Linked DNA regions of Pelodiscus sinensis. The protein of the gene in region 2 purifies or fractionates together with the protein of the main gene of each other region. This does not show direct contact. Links are inferred from orthologs where the notes say so. Each region holds a gene or a part of one and is shown on either strand. Other genes may lie near its edges.

What was found. The genes of interacting proteins can lie anywhere in the genome.
Region 1: the proteins of NELFA (region 2) and NELFB purify together in Homo sapiens (affinity purification with mass spectrometry; 8 studies listed by BioGRID and IntAct, counting the BioPlex papers as one, with this or other methods). This does not show direct contact. The link is inferred for Pelodiscus sinensis from reciprocal best matches to the Homo sapiens genes NELFA and NELFB.
Region 3: the proteins of NELFA (region 2) and negative elongation factor E-like purify together in Homo sapiens (affinity purification with mass spectrometry; 9 studies listed by BioGRID and IntAct, counting the BioPlex papers as one, with this or other methods). This does not show direct contact. The link is inferred for Pelodiscus sinensis from reciprocal best matches to the Homo sapiens genes NELFA and NELFE.

What each region holds. Positions count from the first base shown.
Region 1 is NC_134732.1:3,324,842-3,332,117, forward strand, and holds the start of NELFB (negative elongation factor B), read left to right. Parts: upstream 1-4,263; 5' UTR 4,264-4,324; coding exon 4,325-4,426; intron 4,427-5,078; coding exon 5,079-5,242; intron 5,243-5,437; coding exon 5,438-5,537; intron 5,538-6,502; coding exon 6,503-6,733; intron 6,734-7,276. UniProt on the Homo sapiens protein: Essential component of the NELF complex, a complex that negatively regulates the elongation of transcription by RNA polymerase II.
Region 2 is NC_134715.1:118,486,280-118,493,787, forward strand, and holds the start of NELFA (negative elongation factor A), read left to right. Parts: upstream 1-4,507; 5' UTR 4,508-4,651; coding exon 4,652-4,903; intron 4,904-7,508. UniProt on the Homo sapiens protein: Essential component of the NELF complex, a complex that negatively regulates the elongation of transcription by RNA polymerase II.
Region 3 is NW_027466016.1:20,616-27,547, forward strand, and holds the start of negative elongation factor E-like, read left to right. Parts: upstream 1-3,919; 5' UTR 3,920-4,078; intron 4,079-6,551; 5' UTR 6,552-6,594; coding exon 6,595-6,669; intron 6,670-6,932. UniProt on the Homo sapiens protein: Essential component of the NELF complex, a complex that negatively regulates the elongation of transcription by RNA polymerase II.

The DNA.
Region 1 (7,276 bases), on a different chromosome or scaffold from region 2:
CTGAGCCTCTATTAGGGTGTCTGAAAAGTTTGAAAACTTACGGGGATTTCACTTTTGACACTGTACCTTTCAATTTCTGTTTAACTAACCTCTTCATTGTGTGTAGTTCCCCTTTATGAAATTAAATGCCATGGTGTTGAGCTACTGTGGTATTTTTCTAACCACAGGCGTGTTAAATTTAATTAATTCACTATTTCCAAGCAGTCCAGCTATAGTCATCTCCTCAGAGCCGCCCTGTCCATAGGACCAATCAGGACAGCTGTGCCAGCCTCTGCGTTTTTGCGGGGAGGAGAACGTCCAAATGGAGCAGAAGAAAATTATCCACAGTTGGGACCTTCCTTCCAGGTGATGCAATAACCTATCACACTGAGACCTCTTCAGGGGAGGGAAGTCCAGTTATTAGGAAGACACAGGTGTTAGCATTGATGGGCTTCTGCCTGCATCCTCTTTTTACATGTAGAGTTTATCCTTTTTTTATATTTATTTTTTTAAAACAGGTGGTTTTGGTTTTAGGTTAAAAAAGTTTAAAGAATGTTAAATGTTAAGTGTAGCTAGCCCTCCTCAAACTCGGCCTGTGATGAATTCCGAAGCTGGGAACAGCACAGCCTGTGCAGCAGGGAGTTTGTTTATAAACACAGGTAGGGTAATTAAGGTAACAAACGGCTTGTCATTCAAGTGGAGTAAGGATCATTGGGTGATTAAGTCACACTCAGGATGCGTTACAGTTAACATTGACAGAGCCATGCCCCGGACCATGAGTATTCATGGTGTTAGAGCACCTCTGGGGCCCATATAACTCACTGCCTGGGAGACTGGAGAATTCTAGGGGCCAGGAGGCCAGTGCCTGCAACCTCCCCGCAGTTCAGCAAATGTGGAAATATGTGACAGGGATGCCAAAGCAACAAAGTCACGCAAAGTGGGAGACAGCCCTGCGGCTCAAGCAGCACATGGAGAGGGGACAAGTATCAGAGGGGGAGCCGTGTTAGTCTGAATCTGCAAAAGCGGCGAGGAGTCCTGTGGCACCTTATAGACTAACTGAAGTGTTGGAGCATAAGCTTTCGTGGACAAAGACCCACTTCGTCAGATGCATGTAGTGGAAATTTCCAGAGGCAGGTATAAATATGCAGGCCAGAATCAGGCTGGAGATGACGAGGTGGATCCAATCAGGGAGGATGAGGCCCACTTCTAGTTGCTGATCTGGAGGTGTGAATTCCAAGAAAGGAGAAGCTGCTTTTGTAGTTAGCGAGCCATTCACAGTCTTTGTTTAATCCTGAGTTGATTGTGTCAAACTTGAAGATGAACTGTAGCTCAGCAGTTTCTCTTTGAAGTCTGGTCCTGAAGTTTTTTTGCTGCAGGATGGCTACCTTTAGATCTGCAATTGTGTGTCCAGGGAGATTGAAGTGTTCCCCTACAGGTTTTTGTACAGTTCTTTCTGGCTCCTTGATCCCTGCACTCTTGCCTCTGAGATGAAGAGCTGAGCTGAGCACCCCGATGGAGTCGGCCACCTGGCATATTTATATCCCCTCCTGGCTTCTTCTAAGCTGGAGAGTCACATGGCCAGTGGCCAGCTGTGTCTTTGGCCTCCAGCGGTCCATTGTTCCCTGGAGCTTTGCTCATTAGCATGTCCATGGGCAAACATTCCCGGCCCATTGCTCTGCCTCAGACAGAGAATCTTTCAGCATCAACATAGAGTACATACTTATAACACACACAGACATTATACAGGTATACGAAGAGCATGTACGGAATCCGTAGACAATAAGCTTTTGTTTGACACTTCACATGGCCCCCTTTCTATCAACTTTTGGGACAAACCCCCCCCCCCATGGGCGCAGCAGTGACCTGGCTGTTTCCCTTAAACTCCGGTAACGTGATAAACATTAATGGCTACTAGCCAGGATGGGTAGGAACGGTGTCCCCAGTCTCTGTTTATCAGAGGGTGGAGATGGATGGCAGGAGAGAGATCGCTTGATCATTACCTGTTCGATTCACTCCCTGTGGGGCACCTGGCATTGGCCACTGTTGGCAGACAGGATACTGGGCTGATTGAACCTTTGGTCTGACCCAGTCTGGCCATTCTTATGCTCTTATACTTGGGAGGATATAAGGAAGGAGGCAGCATCCCCAGAAGTTCTATAGGGAACAAGAAAATGGCATTCTCGTAGGTCTCTAGGTAGGTATCTGGTTTTCACCCAGATTGTTCATTATTCGGGTCCCCCGTCCAGTAAAAAAAAAACCAGAAAATACCAGACATGTGAAATGTCCAGTATTTCCTATTTCCCTTGGACGGAAGCCCAGTGGGGACAATTTTCCCCTGCCACATCTGGCAGGGGTAGGGAAGTGAGGAGTGCGGCAGAGGCGTAGTGAAGGGGGGCAGAAGGGGACACTTGCCCCCAGGCGCCATGCTAGGAGGGCACTGGGCTGGGGTGGGAGCAAGCATATGCTGCTCTAGCTCATGTGACGCTTTGAGCAGAGACCCGGGAGCTGGCCACGTGATGCCTCCCTCTACACACGGGGAACCCAGGCAGCGAGGCTGGGCGGCAGGAGCGGTGACTTTAAGAGTAAGATTTCCTTACCCGGCCATCCTGTTCCTCGGGTGCCTGGCTCTGCGGCAGGAGAGGAGGTGGGGGTGTGTGATTTGATTGGGGCGGAGCGCTCCTGGTGCTGGGGATGCCTGGCTCAGGGGGAGGGGTGAGTGCACTAGGATGGGGGACACTGGGGCTATGTCTACACTCGCGGCTTCTTGTGCGAGCAATATGCAAATGAGGCTAAGCGTGGAATATTGCTGAGCCTCATTTGCATACCTAGTGAGCCACCATTTTTTTCAGAAGAAGATCTTGCGCAAGAAGGAGCATCTACACTGCCCCTTCTTGCGCAAAAAAACCCCTCTTGCGCAATGCCATTCTTCCTGAAAAGTAATAGGTGTAACGAAATTAGGCTCATTAGGTATGCTTAGCCTCATTTGCATATTACTCGCACAAGAAGCCACAAGTGTAGACATAGCCTGTGAGGGGCCTGGCTCTGGGGGAAGGGTGAGTGCATTGGGATGGGGGGGCACTAGGGCGCCTGGTTCTGGGGGAGGGATGAGTGCATTGGGATGGGGGGGCACTAGGGCGCCTGGTTCTGGGGGAAGGGTGAGTGCATTGGGATGGGGGGGCACTAGGGCGCCTGGCTCTGGGGAAGGGTGAGTGCATTGGGATGGGGGGGCACTAGGGCGCCTGGTTCTGGGGGAGGGGTGAGTGCACTGGGATGGGGGGACACTGGGGCGCCTGGCTCTGGGGGAGGGGTGAGTGCACTGGGATGGGGGGACACTGGGGCGCCTGGCTCTGGGGGAGGGGTGAGTGCATTGGGATGGGGGGGCACTGGGGCACCTGGCTCTGGGGGAGGGGTGAGTGCATTGGGATGGGGGGGCACTGGGGCACCTGGCTCTGGGGGAGGGATGAGTGCATTGGGATGGGGGGGGCACTGGGGCACCTGGCTCTGGGGGAGGGGTGAGTGCACTGGGATGGGGGGGCACTGGGGCACCTGGCTCTGGGGGAGGGGTGAGTGCACTGGGATGGGGGGGCACTGGGGCACCTGGCTCTGGGGGAGGGGTGAGTGCACTGGGATGGGGGGACACTGGGGCGCCTGGCTCTGGGGGAGGGGTGAGTGCATTGGGATGGGGGGGGCACTGGGGCACCTGGCTCTGGGGGAGGGGTGAGTGCATTGGGATGGGGGGCACTGGGGCACCTGGCTCTGGGGGAGGGATGAGTGCATTGGGATGGGGGGGGGCACTGGGGCACCTGGCTCTGGGGGAGGGGTGAGTGCACTGGGATGGGGGGGCACTGGGGCACCTGGCTCTGGGGGAGGGGTGAGTGCACTGGGATGGGGGGGCACTGGGGCACCTGGCTCTGGGGGAGGGGTGAGTGCACTGGGATGGGGGGCACTGAGACCAGAGCCACTTAAAGGCGCAGCGCCCTTTTTTTTCTCCACTACTTTGGTCTCCCCTTTCCCCCCCCCCCCCCAACAGAATTTTTTCCCGGTGTTTTTTTTTTGGGGGGGGGGTGTTGGGTATTTTTTGTAACCCCGTCTGCCAAGCCTATCTCTGTGGGGGGGGAGGCAGCACACGGGGTGGGGGACGCAGCGGGGAGGCGGCATTCCCGCGGGGTGTCTCTAGGGGGCCGGCCGCAGGCGGGGGCGGTGGGGGGGAGGCCGCCACGCCGGCCGCGGGCCGCAGGGGTCGCTGTGGCGCTCGCAGCCCGGCTCCGCCCGCCGAGCCGGAACCTGCGTGCCGGGGCCGCGGGGTCCGGGGGGCCGGGGCCGGCGACGGACCCGCCCCGCCGCCATGTTCGCGGGGCTGCAGGAGCTGGGGGTGGCCAACGGCGAGGACCTGAAGGAGACGCTGACCAACTGCACCGAACCGCTCAAGGCCATCGAGCAGTTCCAGGTGCGGCCCGGGGGCCCGAGGCCGGCGCCTCGAGGACCGCGCAGGGCGCATGCGCGGGGACTGGGGGGGCTCATGGGAGTGCCCCCCCCACTGGCCGCCCCCCCTCGCAGGGAGACCCCGCTGGGATCGGCGCGTCTGGGGCCCGAGGCTCCGCGTGAGGAGCCGCCCCCCCCCCCCCCGCGCGGCGGGACCCTCCTACAAAGGGCTTCACCCCCCCCCCCCGGAAGCGGCCTAACCCAGGCTGGTCCTGCGCCGCGCAAGCGACTCCCTCCTTGGGGCGGGGCGTGTCCCCCCTCCCCCCATGGCTCTGGCGAAGGGGGGTCCTGGGGGGGGGTTACCGAGCTGATGCCCTGGTACATCTCCTAATAAACCATCTTGTTAGTCTTTAAAGCGCTGCCTGGTCCTGCCTTTTGTTCCAGCTGCACCAGACTAAGGGCTGCATCTCTACCACCATTAAAAAGGAAGGGAGCCCCCCCCCCAAACCGGTCAGGATTTAGCTGTTTTGCAAACAGGTTTTGTTTTTAGCAGCGTACCCCAGGCTGAAATGTGAGAAGGAAGCCTTGTTTCTCTTGGCGGGCACTCTGTTTTATTGCCAACCAGGAATTTGTGTTTAATCCAAAACTTAGGACTCTTATGGTGTTTGTTTTGCTAGACAGAAAATGGAGTCCTCCTGCCCTCTCTCCAGTCTGCTCTGCCATTCTTGGACCTCCACGGCACTCCTAGGTTGGAATTTCATCAGTCTGTATTTGATGAGCTGAGGGAGAAACTGCTAGAGAGAGTTTCAGCCATTGCCTCAGAAGGAAAAGTTGAGGAAAGGTGTGTTACTGATCTTGTTGCTGCATATTACTCATCATTAGAAATTAATTGCAAAATCATGGAAGGTAAAGTTTTTTAAAAAAACTTAAGTGCTTAAGTCCCATTTTCAAAAGCAATTCAAGCACTTAAGACCTTAAGTGACTCAGGGGTTTTGAAAACTTTACCTTGCAACTTTTCTTGCTTGCATGTTTCCAGATACAAAAAGCTAGAGGATCTGCTGGAAAAATGTTTTTCCTTGGTCAAGATGCCATCTATACAGCCTGTGGTGATGTGTGTCATGAAACACCTTCCCAAGGTAAAATCTCCTTATATCTCCTGGTTACAACAGTCCCTTTTACTTTCTGCTGTTAGCTGGGCTGTGTGGCACATTTGCAAACTCTTCAGTTAATCATTCACTGGTAGAGATTTTGGCTTACACTTTGATTCTCATATCAGTTAATTTTAATGTAGTTTAAAAAGCATTTCATACTTTATAAATGAATTAGCGAGAGAAGCGTGTTTTTCTGTTTTTAAAATGTGCCTGTCCTCCCTCATCCTTCTGAAAAATAGATTGAACTCAGTGGTAGGGGGCTTTTTCATCACTGATTTAAACGGCAAGTGGGACATTGTAAGGATGACCTAGTAAATTATATAGCTTAAATTTTAAAGCTAGATTTTTTTTTTGTAAAGGGCAATATTTCTGGGAAAGGGCACGTAAAAGGAAACAACCCTTCATGTAAGGCACTAAGTATCCTTAATATAATCGCTTCAAAACTAGGGATGTTAAAAATCATGTAATATGGTAACCAGGCAGGAGGTTTTGCTGCCTTGCCACATTGAAGAGGACTCCCTGGGAGTTGGCTGAGATTAACTGATAAACATCAGTTTAAAAGTTTATGGGTTAATTGATTAAACTCTCATCCCTATTCAAAACCTCTGCTAGTGCTTTGTACTTTGTAGAGCTTTGAACCGTCACTGTAGAATGCTTTTCTTCCTTTTTTAATAGGGGAAGATATTTGTTGTAAAACTAACTGAAGGAAAATGTAATGCTTTATCTCGAAAGCTAAATACTTTAAAATCAGGATCCTTTTGGAGGGGCAGGATCATAAAAGAAGGGTCTCTGCTGTTTCCTTATGTTTTAATTGCACTGGCTATAGAAGTTACTGGCCAGTTCAAGGCTGTGATGTCGATCTTTCCAGTAGTTAACTACCTACCATTTTAACAATCTGACCGGTGAACCCCTAGCTAAACTTTTTCCTGACTCTGCACTGTTGTTCATAGGTCCCTGAAAAGAAACTGAAGTTAGTGATGGCAGATAAGGATTTATACAAAGCATGTGCCGTGGAGGTGAAGCGCCAGATCTGGCAGGATAACCAAGCTCTGTTCGGTGATGAGGTGTCCCCATTGCTAAAACAGTACATCCTGGAAAAAGAAAACACTCTCTTCAGTAGTGATCTCTCTGTCTTGCACAACTTCTTCAGTCCCTCTCCAAAAACGAGACGTCAGGGAGAGGTAAGAACAGGAAGAACTTACAGTGAAATTTGGAACAGGATTCTCCAATCTCTGTCTTTGAAAAGGGAGCATATTGGGTTCCTATCCTGCCAGTATTATCAGAGAATTGAGCATCCATCTGGCCTTGAAACTTTGCTACCACCTGGAAAAAGCTATGTAAATATTTTGGCTAGTTACTTAGTGTCAGTTTATCTTCTTTAAACAAGTCTTAATGAAATAAACTAGGGATGTCAAAGCCAATTTTTAATTAGTTAACTGGTTAAAAGTAATGTTTAACCAGTTAACCGATTAATGGGGAGGGCAGTTGCGGGGGTGAGCAGCTGCCCACCTATCACTGCCCGTGCTGGAATGGCCCCCCCCTTGCTGCAGACTGGGACTGCCCCTGCTGCGCTGGACCTCCCTGCCTGTAGTGAGCCTTGGTCAAGCCTTCTGCCAACAGGGGCTGCTCTGGCTGGGCTAGAGTACCACCTACCCACAGCAGGCCCTGCGGAGCTGGAGCAGCCCCCCACCCATGGCAGGTGGGAAGCTGCTCCGGCCCCTACT
Region 2 (7,508 bases):
GATGTGGACAAATAGGAGAAAGTCCAGAGGAGAGCAACGAAAATGATTAGGTCATAATTTTTAGGTCTTTATCTGGAAAGATTGAAAAAATTGGGTTTGTTTAGTCTGCGGAAGAGACAACTAGAGAGGTACATAATAATGTGATAAACTGTTCTCCTTAACCATTGCATAAAGGATAAGTAGTAATGGTCTTACACTTCAGAGATTTAAATTAAACAAACAAACAAAAAAAAACCAACCCTTACTATGTGGATAGTTAAGCATTAGAACAAATTACCTGGAGACATTGTGGAATCTCTGTCATTTAAGGTTTTTAGAACATGTCACAAAAACATCTGTCAGGGATGGTCTAGATAATACTTACTTCTAATTTAGTGCAAAGGACTGAACTAGTTGATCTATTGTGGCCCCTTCCAAACCAATATTTCTCATACCTGAAGCCTGCTATTCCTCTGCTATAAGCAAACATCTGTAAAACCCACTGGCAAATTGTGTGTCTCAGACTCATCCAGTGGCCAGTCAGCCTACAGAATGATAACTTACAACCACTACTAGTTAGCGGAAATGTCAGAGGTCTTGTGCTATAGAGGTAAAGGTTCCAACTTTGCTGATGACTCATACTAGTGTCTAAAAGTTTCCACATAATGGATTTTTTTCCACTTTGTTGTTTTACAAACTTAAGAAATTTCAAAACATGTTGTGTGCAGTGTTGTTATAACTGTGTTTGTCCCAGGATATGAGCATTCTCTGGATGAGGGGATAGATTGCACCCTCAGTAAGTTCGCAGATGACACTAAGCTAGGGGGAGAGGTAGATATGCTGGAGGGCAGGAGTAGGGTCCAGAATGACCTGGACAGATTAGAGGATTGAGCCAAAAGAAATCTAATGAGGTTCATCAAGGACAAGTGTAGAGTCCTGCACTTGGGACAGAAGAATCCCAAGCATTGTTACAAGCTGGGGACCAAATGGCTAAGTAGCAGTTCTGCAGAAAAGGACTTGGGGATTACAGTGGATGAGAAGCTGGATATGAGTCAATGGTGTGCCCTTGTAGCCAAGAGGGCTAATAGCATATTAGGGTGCATTAGGAGGAGCATTACCAGCAGATCCAGAGAAGTGATTATTCCCCTTTATTCAGCTCTGGTGAGGCCACATCTGGAGTAGTGTGTCCAGTTCTGGGTCCCCCACTATAGAAAGGATGTGGATGCATTGGAGAGGGTCCAGCAGAGGGCAATCAAAATGATTAGGGGGCTGAAGCACATGACCTATGAGGAGAAACTGAGGGATTTGGGTTTGTTTAGTCTGCAGGAGAGAAGAGTGAGGGGGGATTTGATAACAGCCTTCAACTTATAAATAAAATAAATTTTTAAATTAATGGAGATTGCCTATCTCCTAGAACTGGAAGGGACCTTGAAGGTCATTGAGTCCAGCCCCTTGCCTTCACAGCAGGACCAAGTACCATCCCTGACAAACTTTTGCCCCAAATCCCTAAAATGGCCTCCACAAGGATTGAACTCACAACCCTGGGTTTAGCAGACCAATGCTCAAACCACTGAGCTATCCCTCCCCCCCTTTGGAATTTCCTGAAGGGAGGTTCCAAAGAGGATGGAGAAAGGCTGTTCTCAGCAGAGACAGGTGGCAGAACAAGGAGCAATGGTCTCAAGTTACAGTGGGAAGGGTCTAGGTTGGATATTAGGAAAAACTATTTCACTCGGAGGGTGGTGAAGCACTGTAATGGGTTACCTAGGGAGGTGGTGGAATCTCCACCCTGAGAGGATTTTAAGTCTCGGCTTGATAAAACCCTGGCTGGGTTGATTTAGTTGGGATTGGTCCCGCCTTGAGCAGGGGGCTTGACTTGATGACCTCCTGAGGTCTCTTCCAGCTCTATGATTCTATGAGCAACAGAAGGTAGGTAATCTCTTTTATTGAACCAACTTCTGTTGGTGAGAGAGACAAGTTTTTGACCTGTACAATGATCAGAAGAATTCTGTGAATGGCCATCAGAACTTTCTTGCGCAAGAGCGTCCATGCAGTGTCGACACTCTTCTGTGCAAAAGCACATTGCTTTTGCGATGAGCTTTTGGGGTGTGGACGTGCTTTTGCATAAGAAGTTTTTATGGAAGATCTCTTCTGCAAAAAGCTTTTTGCACAAAAACCCTGCAGTGTAGACTAAGTCTTAGAGAAAAAGTTAGAAGTGACATCTCCTGCCACCAAATAACCTCTTTGTGTTTGGCTCTGTTCTCAGGCAAAAGGTGATGATTTCCTGATTTCTTCCTGATTTCCATAGCTGAGTTTCAGGACAGGTCTTGTAATCTCCCTTCTTAAATGCCTGATCCTTCACTGTAAAAAATAAACAAGAAAGGGGATGAGGGTTAATTTTACTTGAATGAAAGGAGAAACTCTTATGCTGCCTTCTTGATAGCTAAAAACACTACCGTACTCTTAATTAGGAAGCTCTGCCAAAGGATAACCCACAGCAGCCATAAGATATGTGATTGGGTTTGTAGAAGTTCAGATCCTGGAGGGAGGTGGTATAATCTTGCTTTCTCTCTCCCTCTCCAGCCAAAACAGATCAACCATTTCCAAAAAAATGAGTTGTTTTGCCCATGTTAAATTCTGGGTACCTTTTCTCTGAAAGACTCTGGCACCTTCATGCTCTGTTGACATGAGTTTTAGTAGTTACATTCCTGGACAGTCATTGCTCATTAAAAGTACTGTCATATGGGTGGAAATCAGGTAAATATTGCATTTTACTAATATCAACAATGTAGATAAATCTATGTATTATTTCATATGACTTGGCATTGTGCCTCTCCATATAACCTTGTAATTTTGTATTAGAACCTGAATCCATATAACCTTTTAACTTTGTATTAGAACCCTATATAGAAAACTTGTAGAAAACTGAGTATATAGTTAAAGTGGTAAAAATGTCTTTTGCTAGGAGTAGAATAAGATCTTCCCCCCACTCTGTAATCAATTGCCCTGTTGAATGAATGAGGTGAGAATGAGTAAGACTTGAGAGCCAAGCACCTCCAGACAGCTACAGCAGTTGAAGAGGGGGTGGAAGCCCGGCTTCACCCCTCCCCCATCTAACTCACCTGGCCAGTGAAGTTAAGGGGAGCAACTACTTGGTAACAACAGCAAGACGGAGTGTGCTTGTGTGTGTGTGTGCATGAGTGATAGATAGATAGATATGTCATATGCATATGATAAGTATTGATTATTCTATGGCTGCGTCTAGACTGGAAAAACTTGCCAGCTGTCTACACTGGCCGCTTGAATTTCCACAAGAGCACTGACTTCCTACTGTTTGAAATCAGTGCTTCCTGTGGAAATACTATGCTGCTCCTGTTCGGGCAAAAGTCCTTTTGCGCAAAAGGGCCAGTGTAGACAGCTCAGATTTGTTTTGCGCAAAAGGCCCCGATCGCAAAAATGGTGATTGGGGCTTTTTTTTGCACAAAAGCGCGTCTAGATTGGCACGAACGCTTTTCCGCAAAAAGTGCTATCAGCTCAGTTCCCACAGCAAAGCCAGACTGTGAACTCTGCAACTATCTGGTAGTAAAGAATGAGCATGTTTAAAACAAAAACAAAAACAAAAAAAGCCTTAAGCATGCCAAGTTTACCAAGTTCATTCTGTCTCTATGCATCCCCAGAAAGGTTCCCCCATTTTGTTTATTGATATACTAAAATATGCATTTGAAGCTGTATTTATAAAGGTCCTTAATCTAAGCATGTGCTTATCATTACACAGGTGCAAGAAGCTGAGACCCCTTTGTTGCACAGGAAGTTAGGCTTGTGTGTGTACACTTGTATGAAAAGGGCCTGTTTCCCAGTTTCTCCTGTTTATGCACGGAGATTACTTCCTCCTCTTACCAGACACCCCCTACTAAAATCTTTGGGGAGATGATGAAAAAGGGCTTCAACTTCGCTTATGTCAAAGCAGAGCATTGCAAGTAGATTTCATCACCTGTCAATTGGGTAGCAGGCTGGGTGTGTTGTTTGGAAAGGAAGATGAGAGGGGGGGAAACAGAGGACCAAAGGAGAAGAGAGTTGCCCAGCTGCCAGCGGTGGGTACAGATAAGAGTCCCGTGCTGGAGTCGGATCAGTTGTTTTGAATACAAATTTCTATTTTTTCCGGCCAGCTCTACCAAGCCGCCACCGAGTCAGAAAGGGTCGGAGCCGTCCAGCGGGCACAGCCTAGCCAGGCTGCGGAGCAGGGGCGCGCGCAGACCAGCTGTGCAGCGGGGAGGCAGGTGTGGGGCTGGAAGCGGGAGGACGGAGCAGAGGGGCGGGGGCGAGGTGACAGTGTGGGGAGGGAGAAGGGCTGAGGGAACGGGCGCAGGCTGCAGCCCCGTCCCTTGGAGAAGCGCTGGGGGACGCCAGCAGAGGGCGGGGAAGCCAACCTGCGAGGCTTCCCGCGACATGGGGAACGCCATGTTGCAGTACGGAAGGGAGGCTCCATTTCGCACTACGGAAGGCGTTGCTCCCGAGCTCGCTGTTCCTCTCCCACAGGGCGCCGCCATTTTAGATTACGGAACTCCCTGCGCCCCATGGCGAAGCCTCTCCGCGAGGGAGCCGCCATTTTGGGTTACGAGCGAAACGGCGGCCCACAGGGGTCCTCGCCCTCCCTTCGTATAGGTGTCTTCATAAAATGCCTGCTAAAAATCCCCCCTTTTTTCGCCCCGCTCCCAAGATGGCGTCGATGCGGGAGAGCGACACTGGCCTGTGGCTGCACAACAAGCTGGGCTCCACGGACGAGCTGTGGGCGCCGCCGAGCATCGCCTCGCTGCTCACGGCCTCGGTGATCGACAACATCCGCCTCTGCTTCCACGGCCTCTCCTCGGCCGTCAAGCTCAAACTGCTGCTGGGGATGCTGCACCTGCCCCGCCGGGCGGTGGATGAGGTGAGAGCCGGGCAGGGGCTGCGCGGGCACCGGGCGAGGCGGGAGCGGCTCCAGCGCGCGAGTCCTGCCGCGGGCTGGGGGGGGGGGGGGGGCAGGGTAGGGCTGCGAGAGCGAGTGAGGTGCCCGGGGCCAGTTGCCCCAGCAAGCGGCGGCTGGGTGAGGGCGGCAAACGCCCCCGTGTGGTGGCGGCGGCGGTACCCGCCCCCTCCCCGTTAAATGGCGTCGGAGGAGCCGCCCGCCGGACACACCCCCGGGTGGGGGAGGGTATCGGTAACGGCCCGCCGGACACACCCCCGGTGGGGGAAGGTATCGGTAACGGCCCGCCGGACACACCCCCCCGGGTGGGGGAGGGTATCGGTAACGGCCCGCCGGACACACCCCCGGTGGGGGAAGGTATCGGTAACGGCCCGCCGGACACACCCCCCGGCTGGGGGAGGGTATCGGTAACGGCCCGCCGGACACACCCCCCGGCTGGGGGAGGGTATCGGTAACGGCCCGCCGGACACACCCCCGGGTGGGGGAGGGTATCGGTAACGGCCCGCCGGACACACCCCCGGGTGGGGGAGGGTATCGGTAACGGCCCGCCGGACACACCCCCCGGTGGGGGAGGGTATCGGTAACGGCCCGCCGGACACACACCCCCCCCCCCCGGTGGGGGAGGGTATCGGTAACGGCCCGCCGGACACCCCCCCCCCGGTGGGGGAGGGTATCGGTAACGGCCCGCCGGACACCCCCCCCCCCCGGTGGGGGAGGGTATCGGTAACGGCCCGCCGGACACCCCCCCCCCCGGTGGGGGAGGGTATCGGTAACGGCCCGCCGGACACCCCCCCCCCCCCGGTGGGGGAGGGTATCGGTAACGGCCCGCCGGACACCCCCCCCCCCCCGGTGGGGGAGGGTATCGGTAACGGCCCGCCGGACACCCCCCCCCCCCGGGTGGGGGAGGGTATCGGTAACGGCCCGCCGGACACCCCCCCCGGGTGGGGGAGGGTATCGGTAACGGCCCGCCGGACACACCCCCCGGGTGGGGGAGGGTATCGGTAACGGCCCGCCGGACACACCCCCGGGTGGGGGAGGGTATCGGTAACGGCCCGCCGGACACACCCCCGGGTGGGGGAGGGTATCGGTAACGGCCCGCCGGACACACCCCCCGGGTGGGGGAGGGTATCGGTAACGGCCCGCCGGACACACCCCCCGGGTGGGGGAGGGTATCGGTAACGGCCCGCCGGACACCCCCCCCCCCCCGGTGGGGGAGGGTATCGGTAACGGCCCGCCGGACACCCCCCCCCCGGTGGGGGAGGGTATCGGTAACGGCCCGCCGGACACCCCCCCCCCGGTGGGGGAAGGTATCGGTAACGGCCCGCCGGACACCCCCCCCCCGGTGGGGGAGGGTATCGGTAACGGCCCGCCGGACACCCCCCCCCGGGTGGGGGAGGGTATCGGTAACGGCCCGCCGGACACCCCCCCCCCCGGGTGGGGGAGGGTATCGGTAACGGCCCGCCGGACACCCCCCCCCCGGTGGGGGAGGGTATCGGTAACGGCCCGCCGGACACCCCCCCCCCGGTGGGGGAGGGTATCGGTAACGGCCCGCCGGACACCCCCCCCGGTGGGGGAGGGTATCGGTAACGGCCTGCCGGACACACCCCCGGGTGGGGGAGGGTATCGGTAACGGCCCGCCGGACACACCCTCCGGGTGGGGGAGGGTATCGGTAACGGCCCGCCGGACACACCCGCGCGGAGCGGGGGGGGGGGCGTGTCAGTATTGCCCCCCCCCCCGGGTGCTCCTTGGGGGCGCTGCACTCAGTCCTGCCCGCCTGGTGGCAGAGGGGTGCTCAGCACTGCACCCGCAGCCGCTTTTGCCCCCTGGGGGTTACGTTCGGTACCTACTCGCCCCCCAGCCAGTTACCTATACTGTGCCTGGTGCCCCTTCTCCACCTCCCCTGGCAGGGGGCCCTCAGGCACCCTGGCGCGCAGCTGGGGCAAAAGCCAACAGGGCACTATTGAAAGAGCTGGCAGGGTCCCGGGCTGTGGTAAGACAGTACCTGTAAGAAACGTTGTTACTTTTACCGCTGCCCGTAGGATACATAGCTGCCGACCCCTGAGCGGCCAGCCCATGGTGGGATAGCCTGCCCCCCATGTGTCTTAGAGGAGAGAGTGCTAGCTGTGCGTTCATAGGGCCTGGGCACTTCTGGCCTGATGGGTGACCTTGGCGGAGTGTGCCTCTCACCTCGCTTTGCCCATCTGTAAAATGAGTATATTGGTACTGTCCTCCTTTGTATAGTGTTTTGATTAAAGTGTTACCTAAGGACTAGGCATTGTTATTCCTGTGACTCAAGTGTGGCGCTCCTGTGAGTGCTGTGCTCTTTTTCAAAAGGTTCCACCGTTGCCTTCTTGTCTGAAACAGAGAGGGGAGAGAGGAACAGGACAGATTATTTTTCGTATTTAGGCTGATGAGTTTCACCATGTACAACAGCTAGTGCTTTTGACTGCCTTTTTGGGGATTATGTCTCTGGGCCAGCAGTACTTGTGCTTGGAACTAGGCCAGAGAAACAAATTATAGAGGGCAGTGGTTTTCAATCTGTAGTCCGCAGATTGTCTGAATTTTCCA
Region 3 (6,932 bases), on a different chromosome or scaffold from region 2:
GGCAGGAAGGGTTAACAACAGGGACCAGTGGGGGGAGGGGCTAGATCCAGCAGGGGGAGGGGCCCTCACCTGGTCATGTGCTTCTGGGCCAGGGCGATGGCGTATTCGGCCACCACCGTCTTGCCGGCCGAGGTGGTGCGCGGCCACGAAGAGCGAGTCGCGCCGCTCCAGGTGCAGGATGGCCTGTTTCTGGAACACGTCCGGCTCGAACGGCCACTGGGCCGGGGAAACCGAGTCAGGCGGGACGCCCCTCTCCCCGTGGCGCGTCCCCAGGCTCCCCAGCCGACCCCCACGGCACAAGGGAACTGAGGCTAGCATCCGGCCCTGGGCCCCACAACCCCGTGACACGTCTCCCTGGCTCCCCCACCCCAGGGCAGCCCCCGCCCCCCTCAGGGCCCCAGCCCAGCGCGGCCCAGGCAGGGTCTCACCCGGAAGGCCGGGTCGGGGATGCGTTTGTAGAAGTCGTCCACGGGCGAGGAGGTGTCGACGGGAATCGCCCACTGCTCCTTGGGCGGCTCGGGGGGCGCGGCCTGGGCGGGCGGGGGAGGTCCGGGGGTCACCTCCTGTGGGGGCAGAAGGGCTGGTTACGGGGCTCCGCCCCCCAGGGCGTTCCTGCCTCGGCCTGCCCCCAAAACCCCCCTCCCCCAGCCCAACCCCCCCTTTTCTGCACCCTGCCCACAGCCTCCCCTCCCCCCCACCAGAACAAGCCCCGTCCCCCAACATCCACCCCCCCAGCTGTCCCGCCTCCACCTTCAGCACCAGCTCCTCCAGGCTGTCTGCCCGCTGGGGGGCGGGGGCAGGGGCGGGGGGCGTCGCTCCCTCCTTCCCCTTGGTCTTCCTCTTCGTCTCCTCCTCCTCGTCGCTGGAGCCGCCCAGCTGGAAGGAGTCCAGGGTCCCCAGCAGCCCGGCCAGGGGCAGCAGGCCCGGTGCGCTCTGGCGCGGCGCAGCTAGGGGGCAAAAGGGGGGGGTTAGGGGGCGCCGGGAGGAGGGAGTCCCTCCAAGCGAGCCCAGCCAGCGGGGTGCCCCCCTCCAGGACACCAGTGTCTGCCCGGCCCCCCATGGAGAGACCAGCCCCCCAGATCAGTACCTTGCGGCTTGAAGTCCACCCCCTTCTTCCAGCCGGGGGCACCGTCAGCAAGTCTGGGCAGCGGGGAAGGAAAACAGGCAGAGTTACACCAGCCAAAGTTGGGAGGGGGCGGGGGGGAGAGAGGGGGCAGGGGCCTGTCTCCACCAGGGGGCGCCAGGTCTGGCCCCTCTAGGGGTGCTGCCTCCCACCCGGCCCCAGGGCAGGACCTGGCAGGGTGGGGGGGGGGTCTGGCCCCTCTAGGGGTGCCGCCTCCCACCGGGCCCCAGGGCAGGACCTGGCAGGGCGGGGGGGGGGGGGTCTGGCCCCTCTAGGGGTGCCGCCTCCACCCGGCCCCAGGGCAGGGCACTGAAGGGCACCCAGAGCCCGCCAGGCCCGAGGGGATGGGGGCGGGGGAGAGGCAGGACACCCGGCCCCCTCACACCTTTCTCAAAGTCCACATCCTCCTCCAGCTGGTCCTGGGCGCAGATCTGCTCCAAGCTGGGCTCGTCCATCCCGCTGGGGAGCAGAGAGAGGCTGAGTCCCAGCAGCACCGATGGGGGGGGGGGGGGCGGGGGAGAAGGAGGGGGACGTACCTGGCCAGAAGGGGTAGTTGGTGCTGCTGCCCCGCAAGGCCTGGGCGGGGGGCCCCGGGGCCCGCTGGAGGGAGAGCGAGTTCTTGGCCGACAGCCCCATGTTGTCCAGCAGCGCCTGGGGCGGAGAGCGAGGAGCGGGGCCTTCACTCACCGTGGCCCCCGGACAGCGCCAGGGCAGCGTCGCAAAGCCCCGGAAACGCCCCTTACGCCGCCCCCCGCTCAGGCCTCCGCCCCGCCGGCCGGGGACTCGCAGGGCAGCGCTGCTCAACCCCCCGCGCGCCCGACCTGCTCACCCCGCCACCCCCAGGGCACGAGGCCGCTTGGAACTCTGCGCTTCAGGGGGGCTGGTCTCCTGCCCCCGCACTCAGCCTCCTCTCCCAGGGCGTGACGAGGGGGGTCGTACGTGGGCTCTCGGGAGCCTGAAAGGATCAACGCCCCGAGGGAGGAACCACACAACCCGAAGCACCGAAAAAGAGAATCCGCCTTCCGCTGAGCAGACGGAAAGGAACCCGCGTCCACCCGCGCTGCTTTGGATGGGAATCGGGCAGAACCCCTTAACGCCAAGGAGACGTGTGCGCTGGCAGGGCGGGCGCAGCACGAAGGGGCGTGTGAAACTTTAGCGCATCCGGCACGTAAATACTCGGGGACGCCGGCCACAGCGGCACAGGCCGGCTCTCACACTCAGGTGGCCGTGGGAATAAGAAACAGGCAGCATCCTCACACCCACTGCGGCCAACCCGTGAGTCTGAGCAATTGGCCGAACAGGAAATAGGACTGAGTGGACTTTCTTGTAGGGTTTTTTTTTTAAATGCAGTTAGCTTGCGTACATGGGTCTATATTTGGGAGCACAACTGAAGCTGTTGCACAAGACTTGTAGTGGGAGAATTGAGCGAGACCCCCTCTTTTGTTGGTATCGCTCGTGCTTACGAAATTAGGAGAGCATTGTACATTTTGTATTCTTTGTTATAAACACGGCTGTTGGGTAACAGAAGGATTAAAGGTGCGTTTAGTTTTTTAAATCAGTCCCCCAGGCCAGCATCTCTCATGTGCCGAAAGGCCCCCCCCAGCCTAGGGAGGGAGGCATGGGACCCAGGCGTCCAGGCCAGCACGTTTTGGGCGCAGTGTGGCTGCCAGGACAGGACCCCCGTGCCTGGATGGGCTCACCTCTCGGAAGGCCAGGATCTGCCCCGTGGTGGGGTCCCGCTCCGCCTGCAGAGTGGCGTGCACAGGGGTGGCGTCTGTCTCCAGCAGCGACCACACGTCCTTCTCCCGCGGCCAGCACCTGGAGGGGGGCACAGAGGCGGAGTCAGCGCCCGCTGCACCCCGATGTCCCGCCCCTCTCCGCGGCCGAAGGGCTGGTGCCCGCAGGGGTTTTCGGGGAGGCGGGTGGGCACCAGGACTCACCTGTGGGCCCTGTCGAAGCGGTGGAGGGGCAGCCATTCGGGGCTGGCCAGGAAGCGCCGCTCCAGCTCAGAGGCCAGGTCCATGGTGAAGGGGGGCAGCCCGTGGGGCAGCTGGAGAGGGAGAGGGGAGGTGTGAAAGGCCCGTGGGGCAGTGGCGGGGTAGGGGAGGGAAGGAGATGGCGGCCGGGGGGGGGTCTCACCGTGCAGAGGGGGATGGTGCCGCCATCGGGCCCCTCCGGCCGGGTGACGAGCTCGAAGCGCCCGGCGCAGCCGACTTCCAGCAGGGACAGGGGCAGCTCCAGGGGCCCCCGGGGGGGCAGCGCTGGGGGGGGGCACAAGGGGGGGTCGGACTCTGCAACAGGCAGAGACCCCTCCCCCTGCAGATCCCGCTGGAGCCTGCCACGGCCCCCTCCTGCCCCTCCCCCCACTACCCCTGCCCCCTCCTGCACCTGCGCCCCTCCCCCCACTACCCCCTCCTGCCCCTGCCCCCCTCCTGCCCCTCCCCCCACTACCCCCTCCTGCCCCTGCCCCCCTCCTGCCCCTCCCCCTGCCCCCTCCTACCCCTGCCCCCCTCCTGCCCCTGCGCCCCTCCCCCCCACTACCCCCTCCTGCCCCTCCCCCCCACTGCCCCCCTCCTGCCCCTCCCCCCACTACCCCTGCCCCTCCCCCCACTACCCGCTCCTGCCCCCCTCCTGCCCCTCCCCCTCACTTGCCCCCAGCGCCCCCCCTCACTCATTCGCTCCATGTCGGCAGCCGCGGGCCGCCCCCTGACCCGGAAGGGCTCCGCGCGGGGCCGGCGCAGCATGGCCCTGCGGGGCGGAAGCCGGGGAGAGAACCAGGGCGAGCGCTGCGGGGCGGAAGTGACGCCAGCCGGCGCCGCGCCCCAGGGATAAGAGGAGCCGGGCGCGAGGCAGGCAAATGAGGGCGCCGCTCCGCCAATGAGCGTGCTCCGAGCCTGCGCGCGAGCGGGGAGAGCCGCGCCACGCTAGAGCCGCCGCGGACGGGGAGCGGAGAGGGTCAGTCCGCGGGGGGGGCAACCTGCGCGCGCGCCCCCCCCCCCAACAGCCCCTCTCCCTGGCCGCCTGCCGCGGTGCATCATGGGAGCGGGGCTGCGGAGGTGGGGGGGGAGTTGGTGGGGCCTGGGGCGGGAGCAGGGGGCGGGGCTTGGGGCAGGGAGGGGGCGGAGCTTGGGGGCAGTGTAAGACTAGGGGGCGGGGCTGGGGGCAGGGCCTGTGGCGGAGGCAGGGGAGGAGCTTGGGTCAGGGAGGGGGCGGGGCCTGCAGCAGGGGGCGGGGCCTGCAGCAGGGGGCGGGAGCAGGGGCGGAGCTTGGGGCAGTGCACGTGTATGGGGCTGGGGGCGGGGCCTGCAGCAGGGGGCGGGAGCAAGGGCGGAGCTTGGGGCAGTGCACGTGTATGGGGCTGGGGGCGGGGCCTGCAGCAGGGGTGGGAGCAGGGGGCGGAGCCTGGATCTAGGGCAGGGGGCGTGGCTTAGGGTGGGGGCGGGGCGGGAGCAGGTTGCAGCTACCCCAGGACATTGTGGGTAACGCCCGGGGTCGGGAGGTAATCGTGGAATTGAGTAACCGATTAATCGATATGCAAAAACGTGTCGGTGAATGCTACAGCCGACTCGCCGCCCCCCCAGTAAATGTGCGCGCAGACTGGCCAGCAGCCCAGCTGGGTCCTGGCTTGCGCCGGATCCGGGGCCTGGCCCTGCTGCGGCTCTGCCGTTCAAGTGCATTAGGAGCCGGGCGGGCAGGGAGCCTGGCTCAGGTCTGGCTTGCGCCGGATCCGGGGCCTGGCCCTGCTGCGGCTCTGCCGTTCAAGTGCATTAGGAGCCGGGCGGGCAGGGAGCCTGGCTCAGGTCTGGCTGACGCCGGCTCCGGGAGCTCAGACCCCCCCGACCCCAGACGGGCTGCTGCCCCCCTGCGCTGCTGCCTCTGTATCAGGCAGGCGGCTGGTCCGCAGGGGGGCTGGCTTTGAAACAGGCTCCCCTCGCAGACCGGCTCCCGGCGCTGCTGCCTCGGACACCGCGGCAGCGGCACGGCGGGGCGGGGGCTCCTCGGGAGTGGGGCCGTGTCGTGTGCTTTGCTTTTAGATCCCAGGGAAAGCGGAACCCCCCAGAGAGACGTTCCCGCAGTTGTTTGAGTGTGACAAGCCTTAGCAACAATCGCTGGACAATTGAAAACACTGGAGCTATGGCTACACTCGCGGCTTCTTGCGGGAGTAATATGCAAATGAGGCGAAGCGTGGAATATCGCCGAGCCTCATTTGCATACCTAATGAGCCCCCACTTTTTTCAGAAGAGGCTCTTGCGCCAGGAGGAGCATCTACACTGCCCCTTCTTGGGCAAGAAAACCCTCTTGCCGCGAATGTAGACATAGCCCAGGGCTTAAAATTGAAAGCAATTCGCACAGCGCGAAGTGCACACGCCAGTCCTAGCCGATTCTAATACCCTCATTGCGCCTAGGTCACTTACATGTCACCGGTGCGCTCCCGACAGTGCCAGGCCGGGGGTCGTGGTGGCTTGGATGCCTGCACGTCGGCACTGAAGGGGTGTGAAGGGTCCGTTCCTTGTTCCAGTGTGTCAGGGACCCCCCGTCCCCGATCCTGCACCCCCGTAGCAGCCAGAACAGACTCCCCAGCCGGTAGAACAGGGGGGTTATTGCTTCTCCGGGATACAGCCCAGCACAGACGCGATGTGGCTACAGGAGTCAGGGCCAGGATACCTCCGACCCCTAGGGTTAGGGGTCCATCGCCCCCTCAGCTTAGTCTGTTCCCCTCATGTTTCCCAGCCAGAAGCCGCCTTGCTCCCAGAACCTGCCCTCCCGTCTCCCCCTCCCTCTGGGACGGGCTGGGACCCGTGTCTGGGTGAGTCTGGGAATCGCACCTCACAGCGCAGGGGGACCCCGGGTCACAGAGCAGACAGGCCCCCCCCCCGCGATTGTTCTTCCTAAACCCAACTGACAGCCAAGCGAGACTTGGTCGGCCTACGCCTGTCTACCCATCAGCTACCGTTTCCGGAAGATCCCTCGTATGCCGATATCCAGGGTCCATTTGCAATGGCCCGGTATGCGCCAGCGCGTCTGGACTGTCTCTTATCACAGTGGGACGTCCTAGGACCAGGCTGTTCCTGCTCTCTGGCCTGGTCTCGCCGGCCTGTCCACGTTCCGCAGCGTTGGGCAGCCCTGCTGACTCCCCCCCCGGCCTGCGTACCGACGTGTGCGCCCAGGCTCCAACCAGACCCAGGGGGGGTGTTAGAGCCGTGCTTGGCCAAGGCCGGGCGCTGCAGGCGTTGCTGGTCTGGACCCGGGAGGGCCGCCCTGGCTCCCCGGCAGCGCTGCCTCCACCCCCAGGGACTCCAGACCAGTCGAGTAACGGCTCAGAATCCGCGATCACTCGGCTAGTCAGTGAACCAACATCGACCATCCGTAGTGCAGGGGGAGGCTCCACCCCCCCCCCGCTCACCCCTGTGTCTGCTTCCTCCCGCAGCCCCCGGGTGCCAGTGCAGCCTCCCCCCCACGAGCGCCCCACCATGCTCGTCCTGCCCCCCGGCCTCACCGAACAGGAGGAGGCCTTGCAGAAGAAGTTTGCCAAGCTGAAGAAGAAGGTCGGAGCCTGTCGCCCCACCTGGGGGGGGGGGTGCTGGGTGAGATGGGCCCTGTGGGGCAGGGGGAGGGGCGTGTGGGGCAGGGGGAGGGGTGTGTGGGGCAGGGGGAGGGGTATGCGGGGCAAGATTGCGGGGCAAGATGGGCCCTGTGGGGCGGGGGGGGATACTCGGGGCGAGATGGGCCCTGTGGGGCGGGGGGAGGGGTGTGTGGGACAGGGGGAGGGGTGTGCGGGGCGAGATGGGCCCTGTGGGGCGGGGGAAGG